Linked DNA regions of Bombyx mori. The protein of the gene in region 2 purifies or fractionates together with the protein of the main gene of each other region. This does not show direct contact. Links are inferred from orthologs where the notes say so. Each region holds a gene or a part of one and is shown on either strand. Other genes may lie near its edges.

Region 1 (4,057 bases), on a different chromosome or scaffold from region 2:
ACATCAGTAAAACAGTTTTTCCTAAAATACCTAGAAAGGAACTGGATTAGGCATAATGCACAGTGTATGTAAAGTGATGATAATACTCTTTTCACCCTCTACGTCACATAAAACAAACAAACGTGTTTGTTTGTTAACTAGGGAGAATTTCTAATCTTTTTCTAGAAAGAAGTGGGAATCACCCCTTTTATTAAGATATCACACATAAAATGTGAATTGAATCACCAAAAACAAATAAATAAATGGAATTTTATTTAATAAAATGAAAAAGAATTCAAAAGCTTAAATAGAAAACACCCGCAGGAAACTTTGTACAGATGTTGTATTAAATGCTCAGCAATGATATCTAAACAAAATAAATAGTGCATTAAGTCATGCTTCTACTATTAATACATTAACAATTAGATATTTAATAAAATACTGTCTAGTAGACTCATTATTAGTAGAAAAATATATTGATTTACATGAAATATTTCTCTGGTTTTGAATTAAACAAAGAGGGAGATTTTAAATTTATTAATATTACAAAAACTTATTTCATCTCATTGGATAAACAAATAATTTAAATGTCATACAACACTTCACACACCAACACGTGTAATGTAAAATAAGTCTATTAACATTACACAACACGCTGCACTTCAAAAAACCTCTTGAGATAGTAGACTTGTCCGATAGTCATGACAAGCAGTACTGAAGCCTCAAATATAGACCACATCACCACACGTGAATTTGTACTTTCATTTATTGAACGATGGATACGATCACGCACCTGAAATTAGTATGTTCTTGAGATTTTGCATAACTTTATTAGGAATGATTTTAATGTAATAAAAAATAATACTTTCATATTTTAATCTATTTTCGGTATCATTTATCTGTAAGATAATACAAGAATATATACCTGCATATACTCTTGATCGTGTTTGATAGTTCTTAATGTAGTAGCAAGTTCTTTGATCATGTCCTCAAGTTTATTATGGTCAGCTTCATTTTCATTACCAGATTTAGTTTGTGGTTCTCCGATTTCAAGATTGAACATTACCACCTATTAACAAAATATTACAATAAAATTGTACATGCTTTACCAAATGAAACTCCTTGTTAATGTATCTGATACAATAATTTTAAGCTATGTTTAGTTTATGTTAAGTTGAATTAAAAAAGAACATCAATAAGCTATTTTAACTAAATAACTAACAAGAATATTAAAGATTCATCCATAAAGGAAGAAATAATAAAAAGGATGCAAATAATATTTTTGGATTTCACCTCTATTGATGAGGCAAGACAAGATGTTCACAATTTTTATATAGCTCACAATTTTTAAAATATTAACTGTTACATAATTTTAAGCTAATGTTGTTTGCTATTTTCAAAACAGACTTTTTGTGACAGGTTCTACTGTTACATATAAAATTACTGTACAACATCAAACTGGAAATCTTACTATTGTCTAAAGTTAATACTAACCTTGGGTGTCATGGATGACATTTTATTACTGAAGCAATAAGTATACTTCCCTGCAGTTGGAGCAGAAAATGTATAAATACCAGATGACTCCCTCTCTGCTTTATGAATGACGTTGCCATCAGGGCCTAGTATTATTACATCAATATCTAAGAAACCACCTTCTGCTATTTCAAACGATAATCCTGAAAATATCAAGATTATATTACAATTACATTAACATTATTGAATAAATTAAATAATAAAAAGATCTAATTTAATGACCAAATATATCAATTCAAGCATCCCCTTTCAGAAAATTCGGCAAGTATGGTTTTCATTCACGCATATTGTTTATCATTTCGTGTGCAAACATACAGATTTTAGGGTATGTAACATAAACAAAAACCTATTTGTTATTTCTTCTTTACATACTTGTATTTGATTTTATTGAGTGCAAATGGTGTAAGATAAAGCAAATAAAGCATATTTCAGCTGAATAGTCTTACCCAATTTGGTATCGGCTTCTACATTTTCGTAAAAGCACTCTTCGGCATGTGCATCAACTGTGACTGTGTAGCTGTACGCATTGCTAACTAGGTTTAACAAAGTTACTACCAGCCATTGTGATATTCTTAAGTACTTCATTTTAATAAATGTGAATAATCACATACAATTTTTGTTTTATTTTGGTCTTTTACGTTTGAGCGTGCGTATGCTTCAATTTTCGACCCGGGCCACGTAACATGACATTATTTTATCTGTCATTGCTGTTGTCATTTTTGACATTTGACGTATAAATCATTGCCACGAATCAAAATAAAATTTTGAATTCCTTTTTTTTAAGCGATTTTATGACCTGGTAACTAAGACCTTTAGGTCAACTCTTATTTTAATTTATGTTCTTATTTTTATGAAAAATGATAATATAAAGTGAAATTAAATGAAATGAAACGAGATGAGATGATATGGTAATGAAATATAATCTCAGTAAAATAGTGGTCATTTACTGAGATTTTTTCAATTGACTTTTTGTAGGATCTCGATAAGTTACGTTCAGCGGCTTTGTTTGCTTTTCCCACATTTGTGCACTTTCACAGATACTAAACAGTTTATAAACTACCGTTATTACACATTTAAACTTGAAGAAACGCTAAATAGACAAAATAAAAAAAATCACACAACTTCACTCCTCGCGTTCCCGCCAAAAAGTCAATTTTGTGTTCCGTAATGTAATGCAAGTAGACTTGGCTTCACCATTGTTGAGCAAGCACCTGGCAGCCGGGTGGAGTCCCACTTGGCAGAACTAGCTTGGTTACGACAGTGTATAAGTGCAAACTCAAAATAGATTTTTTTCATCGTCCTTGTTTCGCGAAACTTTCGACTGTGGATTGTGGAAGCTATGTATCGTAGCTATGACCGTCAGCAACAAATTAGATTTTACTTATGCGTTGAAAGTACACTGTTGCTTCTTACGGCTATATTCTATGTTATATATTATATATGTCGTTATATTGAATTTGTTTGTCCCCTTACATAACTAGCATAGCATGGTTTTCGGGTTTTAGTTAATATTTTGGATGTAGTTGTGATTTTTTTTCATTTACCTAATAATTATTTTTATTCCGTTTTTTCTTCGATTTTCATTTGATGTCATCTTACAATACTCATTAAACGTTATTCAAAGTTTTCAACTGCGAGTAAGGTACTCCAAAAAAATAATGCTTCGAACTATTACTAAATTTATGTAGACTAAAGGTAATAGCGATTCTGACGGTGTCTTAGGGCGATACTTAGTGTAAATCCAGCGTTACCTACCTGTCGAAACTAGCGTACTCCGCCGTAAGTATGGGAACCGGAAAGTGACTCAGTCACACTTAGTCGAAAATATTTGCAAAAATTAAATTGGAACAGCCCAGATCAGGAAATGACTTAAACATTTTATAATGAATGATTTTCTTCATAACATTAAAACAAACAGTGTAGATTTACCACTTACTTTGATAACTGATACACAAATCAAGCTCGGGAGGATCACACTTACCATTTTACAATTATTAAAATTTTCTAGTTGTATTGTGAGTTGTGACGCAGTGGCAAGAATGAGTACATATTAATGATTGTTATTGGCAGCTTCCGCCGTATTACTTTTTTTTTTCCTGCCTAAGCTGATAGCCTTGAGAGGCTATGTCAGCGGAACCTTAACTAGTAGGTGAGCTCACGGGGCTCAAACCTGACGACGTTACTAACACGAACCCTAGCAAGAGCTGTGCTTCGCAGAATCTACCACCGGATCGGAAACGCGACCCACTGAGAAGATCCGGCGAGAAACTCAGTGGGCTGTGTCTGAGGGTTAATTCACTCGTCGAGCCCTTCGTCGCAAACGACGGGTTCGACGAGAACGGTGACCGGTGCTTGAGGTACCTAAAAGCACCGTTAGTGGATCGGGAGGATCCGAAATGACGTGATTGGGGCGACGTCGACTGCTTTCCATTCTTTCCGCAGGATCGGGAATGCCGTATTACTAATATTATGTGCCTAATATAGAACAACTATTATAAGCTTTAAATATTTAAATTACGAATGGACAATCTGTTTTACTTCTGAA
Region 2 (4,487 bases):
ACGTTTTCTTGAATATGCCAAATATGCATTATATATTGACAAAAAGTGTCAGATATCATAAAGCTTTATTACCACATTACCTTCATTTAAAGATAAGGTTCCCTTAAGTCTATTAAAACGAGTAAAAGCTATTTGACTAACCTTAGCCTCATCATTCCAAGTCTGCAAAACTAATGGTCCGCTAGCGCTATCCACAAGAGCAACACTTGCAGATGGCTCACTGATAGCTATATTGATCGCTTCAAACTTATTGCCACGGATCAATATGATTTTTTCATTTAATAGAAACCCTGGTATGACTGTGTTAGTGTCGAAGGGATTCAGGTTTCCATTCCTTGCCGTTGTGTATTCTGCTAAAGGTTTGCTTATGATTTGTACAGCATCAGACGTAACATCCATGGATAAGAGCAGCTGGTTTCCGGGTGATCCCGAGATACAGGTGTAATATGGTGGAGATAAGACACAGCTATGGAATATGAAATAAATTATCGATTATTATTTGAATCTACCACTATTTATAATTAGTTTAAAAAGTTATCATAAATGAACAGACAACATTTTGGCTGGATTCTTTGCATATGTGAAGACCGAAAGCAGAGATCATAAAATCAGGCCATAGGTTCCTCTGCCCACCTTATGTTAGAGGTCAATAGAATGCATAAAGACCACAACAAAGTTTGCCCCAGTTTGATATGGATGACTGAAGTCAATACATTAGAATAAAAATACATTTTTAGCACGACTGTCTGAGTCCTCTTCATTAATTCAGCATATGATTTTTATCAATAATATGAATCATTTTTATGACAATTAATCAATTATTGATTAGAATTTGATTATATTCAGTCTATTATTATTTTTACAATTTAAAATGGTACAATCAGTACTTTAATTGGAGTTAGCAGGTTAAAAATACAAACCCCTCATTGATCCAAACAGCAGGTAGTTTCGAAGTTGCTCCTCGATTATGTCCAGTAGCTACATTGTAGACGCTGACCTCAATGTGAGAGCCAAATTTCGGCACCATATGAACAAGCAGACCATTCTGAACCCACCATTCGGAGAAATCAGTGTGCTCATTCTTCTGGAGGGTGAGGCCCCATTCCCAAATTAGTACGCCTGAAGAAAATACCCATGATTATATTTTATTATTATTAGTAATATTTCATTATGCCTTTATGGTACTATATATAATGATGAATACTAGATTACTATAAATAATGAATACAGCAATAATGTCTAGTAATAATGCAAACTGATTTTGCATAAAAATTTGGAATTTAAATCAAGTGTTTTCTTACTTGATGTATGTAACTGATTCTTTTTTTTTATGTTGCACCATATTTTTAATCATTAGTACAATTTTTTACAGCTATAGAAGGCATGCAGACATACTAACAATTAATGACTTAATTACTAGAAAACATAATATCCATATAATAATGATTGATTTGTTTCGGTCCTATAGACACAGTTTTAGAAATTGAAATACTTGTGTAGAATTAAATATAAGCAAAATAAATGATACTGATGGCCCAGTTGACACACTCATTTCCCTTTCAGTCTGCAAAAGAATCATCACCCCTAAAAAGCCAATTAAATATTTTTACGTACCAGTACTCAAGTCCCATCCCCTAACGAGATAAGGATTGGAGCCCGTCACGGTGATTATTTGATCTGATAGATGCAGCAACTGGATGTTGCCAGAAGATGTACTCTCAAACACATGCCTCCACACTACCTGCCCTGTTAAATTTTAAAATATGAGTTGAGTTTGAATATTGAATATAAATTGAGTTTATTGAGTGTATAGTTTTAACAGCCGTTAAATTTCCAATTTTATTTTTTACCAAAAAACTGCATATATACTAGTGATAAATAATTTTGTGAGCTCACTTGGATAGGTACCTCACTTATGCTAGTACAGCTTTAATGAATATGATACAAAAAGAGCACTGAGAGAATGTTATTATTTAAATTCAAAGAGGTTGGCATTTTTTTTTTTTATTCTGTAAATGATTGAGTTAGTAAAAAGACAGGGTGGTGCTATTGTAGGCCTACATTACTCAACCAGGTAACTGATAACTAAGCTCTGGTATCTCTAAATCCTACTAAACAGACTGCTACCTAATAAGATTAGTTAATCTATGATTTTCCTAAGCAATAAAAATTTAGGTGTATTTGAAACAAGACATGTGCATAATTATAGTTATTAATTAATATGTTTTAACTGTGTTGATTTTATAATGCATAATCAATAAATTTAAGTAATCAAGTTATCATAAATAGTGATAGGGACAATAAACAGTAAGATTTAAGTATGGGTTCTTATCAAAACCATAGGACATACACACTATATATACCCTAATGAATCGGTGGAGCCCTGACTATAGCAATTTTAAAACTATGACTGACTACATCATGTTTTAAGTATTCAACCATAAAATCAACGAATACTGTGAACTTATTGATGCAGATATCTATCAATACCGTGTTTTGAACTAAAAATTATTTTTTAAAAGTTTCGAATAATTAAAATCGGCGTACCTGTCTTCAGATTGAGTGCAGCTAAAACATTCTCTTCGGTCGCTACTATTATCTTCCTGGCGGTTGAAACCGTATCGAATTGGGCGAACTTTATACGCCCAACATAGCTTTGGCGCCTGAAAAGGTTAATTTTATTAGAAAAATAATCCTTGAAAACTAACGATGTCATACAAGGGGCATAACCTAAAATGCATAGTTACCAGTCAAACTTCCCGATTTGATCCTCATAAATGCACATGGATAAATTAATTAGACTAAAAAACACAATAAACCAATTTATACTGTTTAAACATTTTAATAAACCCATAAAATTAGGCTTTAGATTTATTGACAAATTCCCCATCTCCGAAAGACCAGTGTCTGACAGCGGTGATAATTGACAATCCTGACATTGACATAACGATTATAGATTGCCATAATTTTTTTAAAGATTTTATGGCCTGGTTATACTAACATTTTTCTAGAGGAACTACAAAAACTGCTATTCTAGAAGGATCAACCTTATAACTAAAAGAAAACTTTTCGTCTGGTTTATACTGTACGCAACCTGTACTGGAAACCTGAGTGATCTTTCTGTGCACATTTTAGTTGGTATGCATATTTTAGTAATTGTCTTATTATTTCTTCAAACGACTAGTTTAAATAACTTACTCAATGCAACCATTCCAAAAAGAAAAGCAAACTATCGAAGCACCTGAAATTAATTAAATATACAGATTAAGCTAATTAAACACATTAAGCATTAACGTAGAATTGTTGGTAACGTTGAATAGGTTGTAGAATTGTATTTCTATCACATCTATATCATATCTTTATTAAAGCAGATAAGATGGTGCTGCTGATTCTATCAATGTGTGAGTTAAGAAAGTTGCTGTCCATATGTGAATCCTATGCCGAGCATCATTGCCTAAAATATAACCCAAGTAAAAGTGAGCTGTTGATGTTCAGAGGTGTAAGCAAAAGACCGCCTCATGTCCCGCCTGTAATCCTCTGTGGCTAACCTGTACAAAGAGTAACCCAGTTAAAATATTTAGGGCACATTGTAACTGAGGAATTAAAAGATGGACATGGACATGGAACGTAGGGCATTGGTTGTCAAAGGGAGTGTAGTGGCCCAAATAAACCTGCTAATGTTAGTAACATTCCCTACTAAACACTTAGTGATCATGAGCGCTAACGGTATAAAATGATAATATGACTTACTAATTAGGTCAAATAATGTACTTGACTGCCCTGAAATATTCAAATTCTCTGCGTAAAGTAAAAAAAATTTTTGAAGTGAAACTTCTAATGCAACTTTTCGGTAGGCAGCGGCTTGGCTCTGCCCCTGGCATTGCTGAAGTCCATGGGCGACGGTAACCACTCACCATCAGGTGGGCCGTATGCCCGTCTGCCTACAAAGGCAATAAAAAAAAAAAAGCTTCCGTCAACGTTGCGTTAAACGCTTAACGCTACCATACTGAAAGAAAGAGAGCGAGAGTGAATGTGTGGCACTCGAACATACGCGTAGTATACCTTGTTACAGACCAGCGCGAGCGTTAGTAGCGACTCCGTCGGAGCGCCATGGTTCCTGAGGAACGTGGATCTCCACGATGACCTGGAGCTCGATTCCGTTAGTAAGTATCTACAGTCGGCATCGTTGCGCCATTTTGAGAAGGCGGCACGATATAATAACCCTCTTGTCGTGGCCGCTGGAAACTACATACCCGACCCTGTAGACCGTATGGTAAACCGTCGACGTCACCCAAAGCACGTCATTATGGATCTTCCTGATCCATTAACGGTGTTTTTAGGCACCACAAGCACCGGTCACCGTCCTCGTCGAACCCGTTGCTTGCGACGAAGGGCTCGACGAGCGAATTAACCCATAGACACAGCCCACTGAGTTTCTCGCCGGATCTTCTCAGTGGGTCGCGTTTCCGATCCGGTGGTAGATTCTG

What was found.
Region 1: the proteins of ER membrane protein complex subunit 1 (region 2) and transmembrane emp24 domain-containing protein 2 purify together in Homo sapiens (affinity purification with mass spectrometry; 3 studies listed by BioGRID and IntAct, with this or other methods). This does not show direct contact. The link is inferred for Bombyx mori from reciprocal best matches to the Homo sapiens genes EMC1 and TMED2.

What each region holds. Positions count from the first base shown.
Region 1 is NC_085122.1:5,876,166-5,880,222, forward strand, and holds transmembrane emp24 domain-containing protein 2, read right to left. Parts: upstream 2,241-4,057; 5' UTR 2,098-2,240; coding exon 1,959-2,097; intron 1,656-1,958; coding exon 1,474-1,655; intron 1,049-1,473; coding exon 905-1,048; intron 773-904; coding exon 623-772; 3' UTR 502-622; downstream 1-501. UniProt on the Homo sapiens protein: Involved in vesicular protein trafficking. Mainly functions in the early secretory pathway but also in post-Golgi membranes.
Region 2 is NC_085112.1:13,914,897-13,919,383, reverse strand, and holds the start of ER membrane protein complex subunit 1, read right to left. Parts: upstream 2,936-4,487; 5' UTR 2,891-2,935; coding exon 2,748-2,890; intron 2,664-2,747; coding exon 2,548-2,663; intron 1,747-2,547; coding exon 1,615-1,746; intron 1,120-1,614; coding exon 921-1,119; intron 467-920; coding exon 142-466; intron 1-141. UniProt on the Homo sapiens protein: Part of the endoplasmic reticulum membrane protein complex (EMC) that enables the energy-independent insertion into endoplasmic reticulum membranes of newly synthesized membrane proteins.